2 linked regions of the Alligator mississippiensis genome follow. The protein of the gene in region 2 purifies or fractionates together with the protein of the main gene of each other region. This does not show direct contact. Links are inferred from orthologs where the notes say so. Each region holds a gene or a part of one and is shown on either strand. Other genes may lie near its edges.

Evidence for each region. Proteins that work in one complex are often made in the same cells at the same time.
Region 1: the proteins of SGF29 (region 2) and SUPT7L purify together in Homo sapiens (affinity purification with mass spectrometry; 4 studies listed by BioGRID and IntAct, counting the BioPlex papers as one, with this or other methods). This does not show direct contact. The link is inferred for Alligator mississippiensis from reciprocal best matches to the Homo sapiens genes SGF29 and SUPT7L.

What each region holds. Positions count from the first base shown.
Region 1 is NC_081824.1:175,112,236-175,119,467, forward strand, and holds the start of SUPT7L (STAGA complex 65 subunit gamma), read right to left. Parts: upstream 3,088-7,232; 5' UTR 3,023-3,087; intron 3,017-3,022; exon of another isoform or gene 2,749-3,016; 5' UTR 2,505-2,748; coding exon 2,092-2,504; intron 1-2,091. Other genes in the region: SLC4A1AP (kanadaptin), read left to right, coding at 3,323-3,778.
Region 2 is NC_081830.1:819,831-827,633, reverse strand, and holds the start of SGF29 (SAGA-associated factor 29), read right to left. Parts: upstream 3,050-7,803; 5' UTR 3,037-3,049; coding exon 2,791-3,036; intron 2,304-2,790; coding exon 2,145-2,303; intron 1,902-2,144; coding exon 1,826-1,901; intron 1,544-1,825; coding exon 1,471-1,543; intron 1,374-1,470; coding exon 1,309-1,373; intron 799-1,308; coding exon 669-798; intron 579-668; coding exon 432-578; intron 1-431. Other genes in the region: nuclear protein 1, read left to right, coding at 3,841-3,943, 4,258-4,397; perforin-1, read right to left, coding at 6,526-7,660. UniProt on the Homo sapiens protein: Chromatin reader component of some histone acetyltransferase (HAT) SAGA-type complexes like the TFTC-HAT, ATAC or STAGA complexes.

The sequences.
Region 1 (7,232 bases), on a different chromosome or scaffold from region 2:
CTTCTTGATCATCAGCACATTCCCACAGGGAAGCTTGCCTCTGTATTTCACAACCAAACCATTCCTAACCATTAGCTGGCATTCCCAACATGAACCACCTTCTCAATGCCACATCTGTACCCTATCCAGAAACAGCAACTGAACTGGAAGTGCAAAGTTCGTACCTATACCAGGCTAGGAAGGAAACGGCATCAATCCAGACAGACCTGCAGCAGCAAACCAGACAGGGGGAGAAGAGCAGCAGCATTTGGGATGTTTAGGTGGGATGAGGGAAGGGGGAGGGAAATTAAGGGGGTATATTGAGTTTCTTTTAAGCTGATTCCATAGCATTGAGAAAGAAAGCTGCAGAAGCCATGTAATGCTTGATACCTCCAGTTCAAAGATCATAAATCTAACGTACGTTATCAAATTTTAAATGTTAGGGCTTTATGTCACTGTTTTCATTTCAATAATAAAAACCTCTTAATTTTTGTATAACTACACGTAAGCACCCCTTTCTAGAAGTGTAACAGTGCAAAAGGGGGATTGGATTAGTTCAGTCATCAGCAGCTTAATACCATCTCTCTGGCACCTAAATTATCTTTACCGTCGTCTTTATATCTTTGTGTAGTGAAAAAGACAGGGCTGACAATTCTTCCAATTATGCTCTACCTAGGAATGCAGCTGCTATTCTTAGTCATATGAGCACCTTAAAATCGCAGGGATTTTCTCCGTTCTGAACTAGAACAGAACGAAGCTCATGCTTTATTGATCTATTCCTCTCCTGGAAAGCTTTAAGTCTGTTTGGTTCGTCAGACAAGCAATTCAACTGCTTTTTGTAGCACATTCCGAACTCTACCGCAGCCTATTACAACCCCCCTCTCTGTGACCCATCAAACGTTTCACTTCCAATTTATGCTGTATTAAGTTTTCATAATCTGATCCTTAAACTCCCCCTGGTGGAGATCATTAAATATTGTCTCCCTACTCTTCTTATCCACTGCAGTCAGTGGGGTGGGGGGTAAAAAAAAGACTTTGGTCAAGATGTCTGTAGGTCTGAATCCTGTCGAGGCTCAGACGTTATTACTATAAATAGTATAATAACTCATTTCCTTTTCAAGATGATAACAAATACAGCCCTTTTTCTAAGACAAAGTACAATCTGATCAAAAATATGTCAAAGTTGTACAACAGAAACTTGACTAAACTCAAAAGCTTGTTATGTGCTAAATTAGAAAGAATTTGTTATGCGAAGCACATGCTAAGTTAAACAAGTTGCAAACTACCCTCACTTGGGCTTCTCTTCTCAGACTTCAAAACCACAGAGAGCTTCTACAAACATCAACAGGACAAAGATATTAATGACATCTTGTGCTACACCACACAATTAAGATCTGGATTTTTGACACAGTTGGGAACTTGGGCGACTCGGACCATCTACTCTGCCCCTGCCTCTAGAAAGGGGATAAACGCCTCCTCCATGAGGGCATCAAGGGACTTAATTAATTTCTTAAGATCCATAAAGTTTCCCCAAGAGCTTCAGGCATCAGGTACTAATGCTGCCATCTCAACTAATATTGCCATCTCATCTATTAATACTACAAAGTACTAATACTACCATCTCAACTTGGTGCTATAAATGGCTAAAAGGCTGACTGATGAGGGAAATCTAGCATTACAGTCCACATTACAGATAGGAAGCCACAGCACATGGAAGCAAAATGCCCTGCACCTTGCTCACACAAAAATGGACTTTAATTTCTTTTTTCTACTGTGACAGTCTTCCCCCCTAACAAGCCCTCCAATCGGAGAGCTGCCCGCAGGAATCCAGATTCAAAATACACGGGTCTGGCTGAAGCACAGATTTTTCAATCTTTACCACAGTAAACACCAAGGCAGACAAGGTTCGTTGGGTAAAACCGATATCTTTTACGAGACCAACTCAAATTGTTGGAAAAATTCTTCTTTGCTTTTTTCCAGCTTCTTTGCAAGGATTTTTCCAAGTATTTGAGTTGGTCTAAGAAGAGATATCAGGTTTACCCAAAGATCCACATCTGCCTATGTCCTTAGATCAACAAGGCTACAACCTATACCACAGTACCACCAACGCACCTATAGAAGTCACTCTCTGGGTCACTGTGCCTCAGCTGAAATGGCAGTTTGGGGATTTTGGTATCCAGGGGAAGCAGGTCATCGGGGAGAGGTGGAGAAGCAGGACGGGAGGGCAGAGGCTCGCTGTCTTCAGTTTTGATGCCCTCAACTTGCTGCTGGTTCTGGGCCTGGGCCATGGCGATGAGGCTGCGTAGCCGTCGGTTGTGCTGGATGAGCTGGATGGTGTGAATGGTGAGGCTGCAGGGCTCCGATGGGATGTCCAGCATGGTGGTGGGTCTGGGTTTGTTTGCCGAGGGCTGATGCAATGGAGGATCTTGGACTTCCACCGTGCGAAACTCGCGTTGAAGCAAATCAAAAGAGCTGCGGTTGGCCTGACTGGCCGAGACGGGAATTTCACCCCAGTAGCGCAGCATCTTCCTGCAAATGAGGTACGCAGAGACAGCGGCAGAGAGAGGCTACAGAGCAGCGTGCCACATCTCTCAGGTGCAAACCCCAAGCCGCAGGGGGCCGGCCACCAAGAGGGAGCCACAAAGGTGGGGAAGCTCGTGCCACCCTGACACTGAGACCAAAGAAAAAGCCCTCGCTTCAGGCAAAGCTTGAGCCACACTGGTCTTCAAAGCGTTCTAACAGCCGGGGACCCAGGCGTGGCTTGCTGCCCTATAGAAAGAGAGACGCCAGTAGTGAGGCAGGACGCTACCGTTTTTCTCTCCTAAAAAAAAAAAGGGGGGGATCTGAGCCCGTGAAGCAGAAACCCAGCCAGCTCCTGGGTGACAGCAGGTGCGAGGCCTCGTGGGGCCCACGGCCTGTTGCACCGTGTGCTGGGGTGGGGGAAAGGAGCCAGTAAGGGGCGGGGGCAGGTCAAGAGTTCTACCCCTCCTCCACCAGCGCCTTCTCAGCGGGAAGGCGAGTGACGTCACCATCGAACACTCACGCCGCTGGCCAACTGCCCCCACCGCGCTCCCACCCGGAAGTCGGTGACCCCCCCGCGACCCGGAAGTCGGTGATGTCCGCGACCCGGAAGCCGTCCCCCCGCGCGTCCCTTCGAAAAGCGTCCCCCAGGGTCCGGCGGCGCCTGTGGGAGCTACTCAGCCCCGCCCCGTTGCCGGGGCCCCTCGCCGGGCCGGGACCAATGTCAGGACCGGGACTGGGCAGTTGAGGCGGCGGCGCGGGCGGAACCCGAGCGGCGGGGACGGCGGCGCGGCGGACCGTGTTTGCAGACGGACGCGGCGCCATGGCGGAGGAGGAGGAGGCCCGGGAAGGCTTCAAGAGGCCAGGGCCTCCCGCGCCCGCGCCCCCCGAGCCGGAGCCGGGGCCGGGGCCGGCGGAGTACGAGGAGCCGGCGTGGGGCGGGCAGCCGCCGGCGGGCGCGGGCTATGCGCTGGAGGCGGTGCGGGGCGGTGTGGCGCTGGGCGCGGCGCTGCGGCTGGCGGGGCGCAGCTGGTGGGCCGTGGGGCGGCTGCCGGGCTGCGCGCTGGCCCTGGCGCACCCGTCCGTGTCGCGGCGCCACGCCGTGCTGCAGTACCGCACCGCCGGGCCCGCCGCCGCGCGCGGCTTCTACGTCTGCGACCTGGGCAGCGCGCACGGCACCTTCCTCAACCGCCGCCGCCTGCCGCCGCGCGCCTACTGCCGCCTGCAAGTCGGACACTGCCTGCGCTTCGGCGCCAGCTCCCGCCTCTTCGTGCTGCAGGTGCGTGCCCGGCCGGGGGGGGGCTGGACCTGCGCTCGCACGGTGCCAGGCCTTTAGGTGTGAAATTATCCTATGGGAAGCTCCTAATGCCCGTGATATCTGACCAGCTGTTGCAGGCAGGAAACACACAAACCAGCAAATAAACAAAAAAGGATGCGAGTAAGCTTGTTCTTATTTACTTGATATTGCTCACTTCAGTGTTGCCCTCTCCTGTGTTTTGGCGTTGGTCTTAAAGTCTACGCTTGGGGAATGCAAAAGACTTAGCTCTTTCGTTTATGTATTTTTTATATACATGTATGTTATACATATAGATGTGTCTTTAGGTATAGCGAGAGAGCTATAGATGTGTGTGTATATATCTTTATCTCTCAGTAGGTCTGTGCGTACACACAGGTACACCTCGCTTAACGTCATCCTGGTTAATGTTGTTTCATTATTACGTTGCTGCTCTACTAAAGAACATATTTGTTTAAAGTCATGCAGTGTTCGGTTATAAGGTTGTTTGACTGCCACCTGCTAGGAGGGTAACTACTGTGACATAATTGGATTTGTTTACCATCATTTCGCTTGAAGTTGCATTTTTCAAGCATGTAACTACAACGTTAAGCAAGGAGTGGGGGGGGTATACACATGCTAGCCAATTGCCCAAAGAATGATGGGGGAGCAGGCGGGGATGGAGCCCCATGCCTTACCACATCTGGGCCCACTCCCCCCTTTCCTCCTGCTGCTTGGGGTCTGGGCCCACTCCGAATAGCAGGAGGGAGGGGAGGAGCAGGCCCAGGCTCAATGCAGGGGAGAGACCAGGCCCAAGAATGGGGAGAAGCCAGGCTGTTGCGGCGGAGGCAGAGCAGTGGGCCTGGGCCCAACCCAGTGGCGGTGGGGGGACAGGAGGAGTGTGCTTGGGGCCGACACAGGGGAGGGCACTGTGAGGGAGGAGTGGGCCCGAAGCCCGGAGGAAGCTCACTTCTCCCCTGCCGCTGCTACATCAGGCCATGTCTGGCTTGTCGTCCTGTGTGTGTCGTCGCCCCCGCGCACTGCTCAGGCTCAGTTCTCCACCCCACTCCCCCACATCAGGCCCGGGCCCACTCCTTCCCTCCCCCCATAGCCACATTGGGCCTGCTTCTCCCCCCACCCCTGCCATATGGGCCTTGCAGGCTGCAACAACAGTAGGGGTAAGGGGCAGGCCGAGGCCAGCACTGGTGGCCATGCCCCCCTGCAGCGTCCCAGCCCCACTCCCCCCCCATACTGGCACCAGCGCCATCACCTTCAAGGAGTGGGGGGGACAAGGCCAGCTCCAGTGGCCTCGCATCCCCACTCCGTCCCCCATGTCCCTGCCATCATGGCGGTGCTCTATAGCCTCCTGTCCAAATGCTTCTTTGCATTCTCATTGGCTATTTGTCAGCCAGTCAGAGTGTGAATAAAGTCAGACAGAAAGACAGAAGCTTTTATAATGTTAGAATTTCTATATATAGAGCAGGAGATCTATATCTGTGTGCATGCATCTATGCATATGTATTTGTACATACGTAAAAGAAACAGCTAAGTTTTTCACATTCCTGAAGCACAGGCTTTAAGAACAACGCCAAAAACCATGAGAGTTGGCAACACAGGTTTCCCTCAATTTATGCAGGTTCGATTTATGCACATTCATTCTTATGCCGTGACCCTTTTGTACCTGAAATTCATTATATGTGAGAGAAATTCATGTATATGTGATTAGCATAGGCCTGGAGAACACCTCATAAATCGAATTTGCATAAAGCGAACCTACTTTATAATGTAAGAAATAGGGATAGGTTCCCCTGTCAGCTTCTCCTGGGGCCGGCTGGCATGAGTGCTGACAAGCGGAGTCCTGGGCACAGCACTCACCCCAGCCCCGGCTGCAGCAGCCCTGGGAGCTGCTGGCAGCCACTAGGCTGCACCATGCCCCAAGCCCCCCGGGGCTCTGCCTGGCCCCACGCACCCCAGCTCCTGCTGCAGCTGTCCTGGGAATGACTAATGCCAGCTCCCTGTAGCTGCTGGGCTGCACCATGCCCTGGTGCAGGCAGCTGGTGCTGGCAGCTCCCAGGGCCGCTACAGCCAGGGTTGAGGTGAGTGCCACGCCCCACAATGCCTGGGGCTCCGCTTGTCCGCACTCACCCCAGCTGGCCCTGGGAGCAGCCAACAAGGGAACCTCTCCCTGTTCCTTACATTATAAAGTAGATTTGCTTTATGCAAATTCAATTTATGCAGTGTTCTCCAGGAATGCAGGTACCCCATAAGTTGAGGGAAACCTGTTCCGTCACCGTAATTCCCCAGGGAGGGAGGGACAACTGGGTCATCAATGTGGAAGTGTTTCTTTATTTTGAGGCAGCCAGTCATAAGAAAGCGCTGACAGCAAACCCGAAAGTCAGTTGAAACTCTCTGGGTGTGTCTACACATTGCCGTATGTTGCCATACAGCGTGCTATGGCGACATAGCAATCACGTGAGTCTACACGTGATTGGCAGCTACCTTACTAGCAGCATGCTCCCCTGTTTTAGCGTGCCACTACAGTGAAGTAACAGTGAAATCTAACTGTGCACCGCATGTATGGTACAGTTGCTGCACCATGTGTTAGTACTTCCAAAAGGAAGTACTACAACATGTCACCGTACAGCGACCTGTAGACCCATCCTCCTAGAGTGATTTGGATTTTGTGTATGCTGCATCAATTAATGGCCTCAAATTATTGTATGTTTTGAACACTTTTAACATTATCTATTGTACATTGTACAAGGGTTGAAATTATGCAGATACGATAATTATCGCACACCTGTCCTACATGTGTGGGCACGTGTGCACACATATGATTTTTGCTTGGATCTTACTTTATATGTTTGTGTGCATACCAGCAGTTGCACATGCACATCCTTCAACCAAGAAGGAATTTACTTTAACAAGAATCTGTACATTCAAGTGACTCAGAAATTTGCCAGACAGTGCATTGGCTGCCATGGAATTGCTAGAGCTGGCCCCCTGCATGGGACAGGATTTCAGGGTGAAAGGAACCTTGGAAGCCCTTGACAGTGCCATATGGTTTACTACTTCAGCAATGTAAGAAGCTATGTTAGTAGCTTCAGGGGGATATGAGAGCCCCATGCTATAAATCCATTAGGCAGGTCCTTAACAGGCAGTCATAATTGCCTCTATGTATAAACACACCCCACTCGCACACACCTTGCCTCCTGATTTCTGCTACTTCAGGGTGTGCTCAGGTTCCCCTTTCCAAGCCCTTTCTCTGCAGTCACGAAACCAGGAAAGAACTACTTTAACATAAGTTTGTTTGTTTGAGCTACTCCCAGTACCAGGGCTTTAGGAAGTGTACCAGACAGATGCATCAGCTGCCATAGCGTTGCCAGAGTTGGTCCCCTGCAAGTGACAGGATTTCAAGCTGAAAGGGACCTTCTAAGCCCATTACAGTGCCATGTGATTT
Region 2 (7,803 bases):
CCGAGGTCATCGGGGGACCACAGAATTGCCCTCCTGGATGGCTAGAGGGGCCCCCGGGGGAGGAGGGGGGGTCCAGCACCATAGAGTCACCATTTTGCCCAGCCAGAGGAACCCCCTAGTGAGGTAATAGAGATGCCGTTCCCTCTTGGCTGGCTAGAGTGGCCCCTAGGACACCCAGTATCATAGTGTCATCCCTCCCCCCGCCCCACCCCCCATGGCTGCCTAGAGTGACTATCTTGGAGGAGCCATCACCCTGGCAGCCATATTAGAAGTCTTCCAATCCGTCCTCCTTCACCCTGGTGCCCATATTGGATGGGCCCTGGACCTGGCAACCATATTGGAAGCCCTCCAACCCCCCTCCCTCGCCATCCTGGCAGCCAGGCTGGCAAGTCCCACCCCATGGTGGACATCTTGGACTCCCCTCCACTCACTTGTTGGTGGCGTGGCTGTAACTAACAACCTCTGCCAGGATCCACTGCTCATCCCCGTCCACAGCTTTGACCCGGGCGGCCACCTTGTCCCCGGGCTTGGCTACGTAGTCACTGGCAGCTGGGATGGCGCCGCACAAAGGTGGGGGCCTGCAAGCAGGGGGCAGTTAGGGGTGTGGGGGAGGGCTATGAACCCCGCCCCCCAGGGCAGGGGGAAGCAGCAAGAGGTGGGGGGCTCACTTCTCGCCGGGCTTTCCAATCCAGAGAGGCAGCGTCATGGCCGATTGCTGGAGGAGGGTCATGAGGACCCCCCGGCGCATGGTCTTACGTGGCGGCTCCGAGTCGTTGTAGAGTCCCGCGATCTTCGCCGCTGTTGTGGGGAGGGCAAAAGAAAAGAGTGAGGTTTCTGGGTCCTCCCCGTCCCTGGATATCCACGTTGCACAGGACTGTGGGAAACAGGGCCGGTGGAGAGACCTATGTACCAGGGGCTTCTGGGAGACCCCCACAATATCCCCAGGGGTTTCTGGGAGGTCTGTGCCCAGCCACCCCGCATCCCCTGTCCCTCCCCAAAGAATTTTTGGATATCCCAGGCCCTCTCCCACCCTGGAGACCCCAAGACCTCAAGGGATTCTGGCAGTTCCCCCAGAGACCCCTACAGCTGAGGTCCCAGGGGATGCTGGGAAGTCTGTGTCCCCTTGTCAGACCCCAGGGGATTCTGGGAGGTATCAGGTCCCAAGGGATACTGGGAGTTCCAGGCTTCTATACCCTCCAGAGACCCCCACTAGCCCCGGGGGAGAATGCCCCTGTCCAACCACTTCTTGTCAGGCCCCAGGGGATTCTGGGAGTCCCGGGGGAGAGGAGGGGATTAGGTATTGCTTACCAATGCGTCTCTCCTCCAGCAAGGACTTGATCTCGGCGATCTTGTCCAGTGCCTTGCGCAGGATGCTGTGTGGGAGGGGGGGCAGAAAGGGGGGACATTAGTGACCGCTAGTGGGGGGGGGGGGATTTGGGGTGGGGGTGGGGCAAGGGGAGGCAAACTTACTTGCACTCAGCCTCTGCATCCGCCTTGGCCGTGGTGTAAAGCCCCCGCAGCTTGGTGCGGTAATAGGGGGAGACTGCAGGGGGGTGGGGGGGTGCAGTTCAGAACCCAGGCGTCCGGCCCCCCCCAATACTTGATTGAACCCGGGGGCCCGCCCCCCCACCTCGTGTTACGCTGAACCCTGGCGTACAGGCTCCGTCTCCCCCCCGCAATCGGAGATCAAACCCAGGCGTCCAGGGCCAGACCCATCGAAGGAGAAACCCAGGGGTCCGGGCTGGGCTGTAACCCCTCCCCCACCCCCACCCCCACCCCTGGGGGATTCTGGGAAGCACCCAGGCGTGCGGGGCGGGGGTCTCACTCTTATTCTCCGTTTGCATCCGCTCGTGGGTCTTCTGGATGTTCACCAGGTTGTGCTCGCTGCGGGAACGCTCCTCCTGCGGGGGGCGGGGTTACCAGGGCTCCGCCCCCTCGCCAGCAGCCTCTGGGGTAGCCCGTAGGAGGCGGGGATAGGACAACCCTCCCCACACACCTCCCCCTGCCCCCCAGCTCCTTCCTCTGCCTGCCCCAGGGAGGCGGCCGCACACCGCCTGCCCCAGAGGATGCTGGGAAAGGCCCCCCCCACCCCAGAGGATGCTGGGAAAGGCCCCCGCCACCCCAGAGGATGCTGGGAAGCTCACCTGGGTCTGCTTGATGAGCTGGTGCAGCTCCCCCAGCAGCTCCGCGATGCGCGAGTCGGCCGACACCAGCGCCATGGCCGCCGGGAGAGGGCGGGGCCTGCGGGGCGCCCGGCGGGAAGGTTTAGTCGGGGGGGCGGCTAGCTGGATTCCCACAATGCCCTGCGGTGGGGAGGAGAGTTGCTCACGCTCCCACAATGCCTTGGGGCTGGAGGGGGGACTTATGGCCTATCTCCCACAATGCCCTGGGGCTGCGGTGCCAGTAAGCTACTCTCCCACAATGCCTTGGGGCTGAGGGGGAGTCAAGGACATGCTCCCACAGTGGGGGGTTTGCTACTTTCCCACAATGCCCTGGGACAGGGAGCAGTTGGCCACACTCCCACAATGCCATGTGGCCAGAGGGCAGGTTGTCCATACTCCCACAATGCCTCGGGACTGGTGGGGTTGGCAACACTCCCACAATGCCCTGGGACCGGGGGGAGGGGGGGTCCAAGAAGCCGAATACGCATGCGCACTCCCATCACCCGCGTCCCCTCCAAGCTGCGCATGCGCATTCACCTGCTTACCATGACACCCCCTTCGCGCCCCCCCACCGCCCATTTCCGGCCCCGCTTGCCTGCCCCCCGGTCGCCCCCAGGCCCAGACGCACCGCGGGGCCCTCCGGGCGGGACCGGACCTGAAGCGGCGGCGAAGGAGCGGCTCCACGTTCCCAGGGCGGCAGCGGGAGGCGGGGCCCAACTACGCTTGCGCGGAGCCAAGCTCGCGAGGCAGCCTGGGACTTGCAGTCCCTGAGGAAGCGCTTTGAGGTTGCGCATGCGCACAGTGCCACCAGGGCCCACGCAGAACGACAGCGCATGCGCATCGCGCATGTTGCCCTTCCAGTCTCTTGCGCCATAGAGCCGGGGTCTCCCCGGGGCTCCTGGGAGTTGTAGTTTTCAGCTCCCCGGCCCCTCCCGCTCCTGAAACCCCGACCCCCAGCGCTCAGCAACAGCGGTGCCCCTCACTCCCGACCTGCAGCCGCTCCCCCACGTGCAGCATCGCCCATCCTGCGCCGACACCCTGCCCAAAATAGCCCCCCCTTCCCCGTACCCCTGTAATATGGGGGGTCCCCCCTTTCCTGGGGGGTGGGAGCAGGGGATTCTGGGAGCCCGGCCCCCTGGGTTGTCTGATGGGGGAGCCCCACAAACTCTTGTGGGCAGAAGGGGCTGCGGGGGGGGCACCCAGTTAATGATTCCCAGCTCAGGCGCCTCTCTATCAGGCCTGGCAATAAGGGGGGGGGAGGGCTGGGGGGGGGGGAGGGCTCAGCCGAGTCCTGACTCAGTCTCCCCTCGTGACCCGAGGTTGTTTTTCTCCCCATGTGTACCTTGGCCGGGGGCCGGCGGGGCGGGCGGGAGTGGGGGCACCGTAGGGGGGTGCGGGCTCGGCGTGGGGGCACCGCCGTGGGGAGCGATGCAGGTCAGCAGTGGGGCCCCCCTGTGCCTTTAAGGTTCTGGGGGTGGGGCAGGAACGGGGGGGGGGGGGGGTGCCTGGGGGGGAGACGGATGATGCAATGGGGGCGGGGCCTGGTCTATAAAGGGGGGGCAGGACCCAGCGAGACACAAACAGCCCCAGGAGACAGCCGGACGCAGCCCCTGCTGCACAGACCGACGCCCCCAGGGACCCCCAGCTCGAGGACCCCCGACCCCGCCTGCAATAGGCCATGGCCTCGGCCCGGCTTGATGCCGCCCGCCTGGTCCCGACGCCCTTTGAAGGCCGGTACCTGGACGCCTGCGACTACTACAGCCTGACCGAGCGCTACGCGGGTGAGGACCCAGCGTCCGGGCCCGGCCCCCCCTGCCCCGATCCCTGGCTATAAAGTCTGGCTATAAAGTCCGAAGTCACTAGATGGCAGCCAGGCTCCAGGCGTCCGGCTCCCGCCCCTCTGCTCCGCGCTCCCCTCCCAGAGCACCCAGGAGTGGGGGCACCGCTGTGGGGGGCTGCGGGGCGGGAGCGGGGGCACTGCTGTGGGGGGCTGCGGGGCGGGGGCGGGGGCACTGGTGCAGGGAGCTGCGGGTGGGAGTGGGGGACACCCAACTCTGACCCCTCCCCATTTGTGTCCCCCCCCCCGCCATCCCAGTGCCTGATGGGAGAGGCCGGAAAGGGCGTACCAAGCGGGAGGCAGCAGCCCACACGAACCGGCCCAGCCCAGCTGGGCACGAGCGCAAGTTGGCCACCAAGCTGCAGCGATCGGAGCGGCGCCGGGCGGGCAAGGAGTGAGCGGAGCCCTGCCCACAGGTGAGTCAAGATGGCAGCTGCCCGCAGGAACGAGCGGGGCGTGAACCGAGATGGCCGCCATGGGGGATGGGAATGGGGGAGTGAGCAGGAGTCAAGATGGCCGCCACGGGGCCTGGCATTAGGGATGGGAGCGGGAACCAAGATGGCAGCTCTTGGGCACGGCAGTGGGGAAAGAGTTGGGAACCAAGATGGCCGCCACTGGGTGCAGAAATAGTGAGGTGAGCAGCAAGCAAGATGGCTGCCACAAGGCAAGGCTGTGGGAAGCGGGCCAGGCATCAGGATGGCTGCCATTAGGCATGGAAACAGGTGGGAGTAGAAGTCAATATGTCCGCCTTTGGGCATGGCAGGGGGCTGGAAGTAATAACCAAGATGGCCACCATTAGGCATGGGCCAGGAGTCAAGATGGCCACCATAAGGCATGGCAGTGGAGCTAAGATGGCCATCATCACCCACAGCAATGGGGAACAGCACTGGGGTGGGCACAAAATGGTGGTAATGGGGCCCAAGATGGCCGCCAGCCACAACGCCAGGCTGGATGGGGGATGGCAGGGAACAAGATGGCCGACACTAACCCCACCCCCCTCGTTAGCTCAGAGCCTCGTTAGCGAACCCGGTTCCGGACCCCATGGCACACGGCGACACGGAGACGGACACACGGACAGACACACCAAGATGGCTGCCACCCATTGGGCCTGGTGGCCATGTTCTCGCTATTGCCACGGTGACCTCAGTGACCCTGTTGTCAAGGCGACCCTTTTGACCCCCCCATGGCAACCAGGTTTAACCTGTTGCCAGGGTGGCCATTTTGAACCCCCCCTTTGGAAGTCCTAGACACCCCATTACCAAGATGGCCATTTTGAATTTTCCCTGCAGCCACCATCTTGGGCCCATTGCCAGGGTGGCCATATTGAACCCCTCTGATGGCAACCATGTTCATCCCATTGCCATGGCAACCGTGGTGACCCTGTTGCTAAGGTAGCCATTTTGACCACCCCCTATAGGAACCAAACTCCACCCCTTTCTTGGGCAACCCCATTGACCCTCCTCATGGTAGTCATATTGATACCATCACCATGGTGACCATGTTGACACTCCCCCCCCCGCTGCCCAGGCAGCCATACTGAACCATCCCCATTTCAGCCATGTTCACTTTGTTGCCAAGACGGCCATATTGGCCCCCTGCCCATAGCAACCATGCTCAACACCTTTGTCTGGGCAGCCATTTTGAGCCCTTGGCAAAGGCGGCCTATTGAAACCATTGCCAAGACAACCAGTGGAACCCCTTGCAAAAGGCAGCCACATTGAAACCATCACCAAGGCAACCAGTGGAAACTCTTGGCCTAGGCGGCCATATTGAAACCATCGCCAGGACAACCAGTGAACCCACCCCGACTCGGCAGCCATGTTGGATACAGGGGAACCTCAGGTCCCAGGGGGCTCAGAGTGGTCAAAAAGGGGTGAGGAAAGGCACGGGGTGGGTAGCTCTGTAGCTGCCCCTCCTCTGGCCCCGGCACTGTTGCGGGGTGAAAAATAGTCAATAAAATGGGGGGGAGTTCTGAAGAAAATTCATGTTTCTTGAGACTTCTTCAGGAATGAGAGGGGCCAAGGGATTGTGGGTAGTGGAGGGGTTAGCCCCCCAATTGAGGGCTACACACACACACATTTGGCAGGAGGTCAACTCAAATGCCTTTATTCCCCCCACAGGCCGGATGCCCGTTGTCTCATTACTGCTAACGAACCTTGGAAGTCACCCTAATTAGACTCCCTCCCTGCCAGGGATGTGTGTACAGGGTTTGAAGGGGAAGGCCCTGAGGGAAGGAGATCGGTGGGTTGGGTTGGGCTAGGGGTGGGGTCATTTGTTAGAGTTGGGTTGGTGTCATTGGTTGGCTGGGTTAGGTTTGGTGTCCTTGCTTAGGATTGGGTTGCCATTATTGGTAGGTGGAGCTATGGATGGGATCATTTGTTGGGATCACCTAAGGGTCATTGATGGGTCAGGTGGACCCATCCCATCACCCCCTCTCTCCTCCTGGCCCCTCCCCGCTTTGTGGCCCCAGTCCATGTGGTTATGGGGCTGAAGGACCTGAAGAGGGGAAGCCCCCTGGGGGGGCAGTTATATCTCAGGGGGCCGGGGGGCATAGTCCTGGCACCGGGGCCCACCCAGGCCAGGCCCACACTGGAGGCGGTACAGGAAGTGGAGCTGCCCATAGGCCAAATAGCAGGTGCGAGACTGGGGGGCGCCAGCCACAGGCATCTCCCCACAGGCCCCCAGTAGGTCATCATCATGCCCGTTGTCCTCGTCCCACACCTCCAACCTCAGCCCGTCTTCACCGTCTACCCGCCCCACCCCAAAATCCAGTCCCACCCCCCATGCCGGGCTGTCATTGTTCCACACTGTGTCTGCCCGCAGCTCCTGCCCCCCATAAAACACCTTGACATAGGCATCTGACTGGGTGCCGAGGTCCCCGTAGAGCCTACTGGCATTGACCACCGTCACCATGAGCTGGCCCAGGCTTCGCTCCCGGGAGCAGCAGGATGCATCCCACCCCACCTCCTCTGAGCACAGGCAGGTGCATGGGTCCCACGGGCTTCGTTGGGTGCCCAGGGGGCAGGGATGGGTGCAGTTCCTCCACAGCGCCCCATCAAGGACATACTGGCTCACAGCCCTCTGGAGAGAGGCCCGCCGTGGGTCACCCTTCCTTGCCAAGGCATGGATGGGCATCAGAGTGTAAGAGATGAGCCCAGGGTTGGCTTTGAGGCCTTCCACCCAACGAGCATAGGCCCCAGAACCTCTTCCTCCTTGGAGGAGGAAGTCAACGTGGTGATGGCCGCCGGTTGCCTCCACATGGCTCTCGGTGTAGACCTGATGGAAGCTCTTGGCCAATGCCGCCTTGGTCTTCTCACAGACGGCATAGATGCTGTCCACCTTGGCCTGCCCACCACCCAACCCAGCTTCCACCTCCACGTCGAGGCAGTCCCGGACCTGGTCCACTGTGAGCCCATCCAGTGCCACCCGGCACACAGGCACTGCCTTGATTTCCTGGTGGTGGCCACCCACGTGGACAAGGGCTAGGTAGTGGGTGCCATAGATGCCCAGGAAGCGCAGGTAGTCCTCCCTGGAGCTCAGGCCGTAGTTGTCTGGGAGGTCGGAGAGGGCCTGGGAGAAGTCCAGGGATAGTGGGGGATTCTGGGCCAGGCGGAATCTGAGTTGGGGAGGGGGGTGAGAGGGGTGGAGAAGAAGCCACCATCTTGTGAGGGCCAGTGGGGCCTGGGTGAGAACAGTTGGGGGCGGTCTGAAGTGGAAAGAGCGTGACCTATGACCCCAAGTCCAACCAACCTCAACCCAAAGAGCCAACCAACCTCAAACCCGGCCTAAATCAACCCCTTGTGA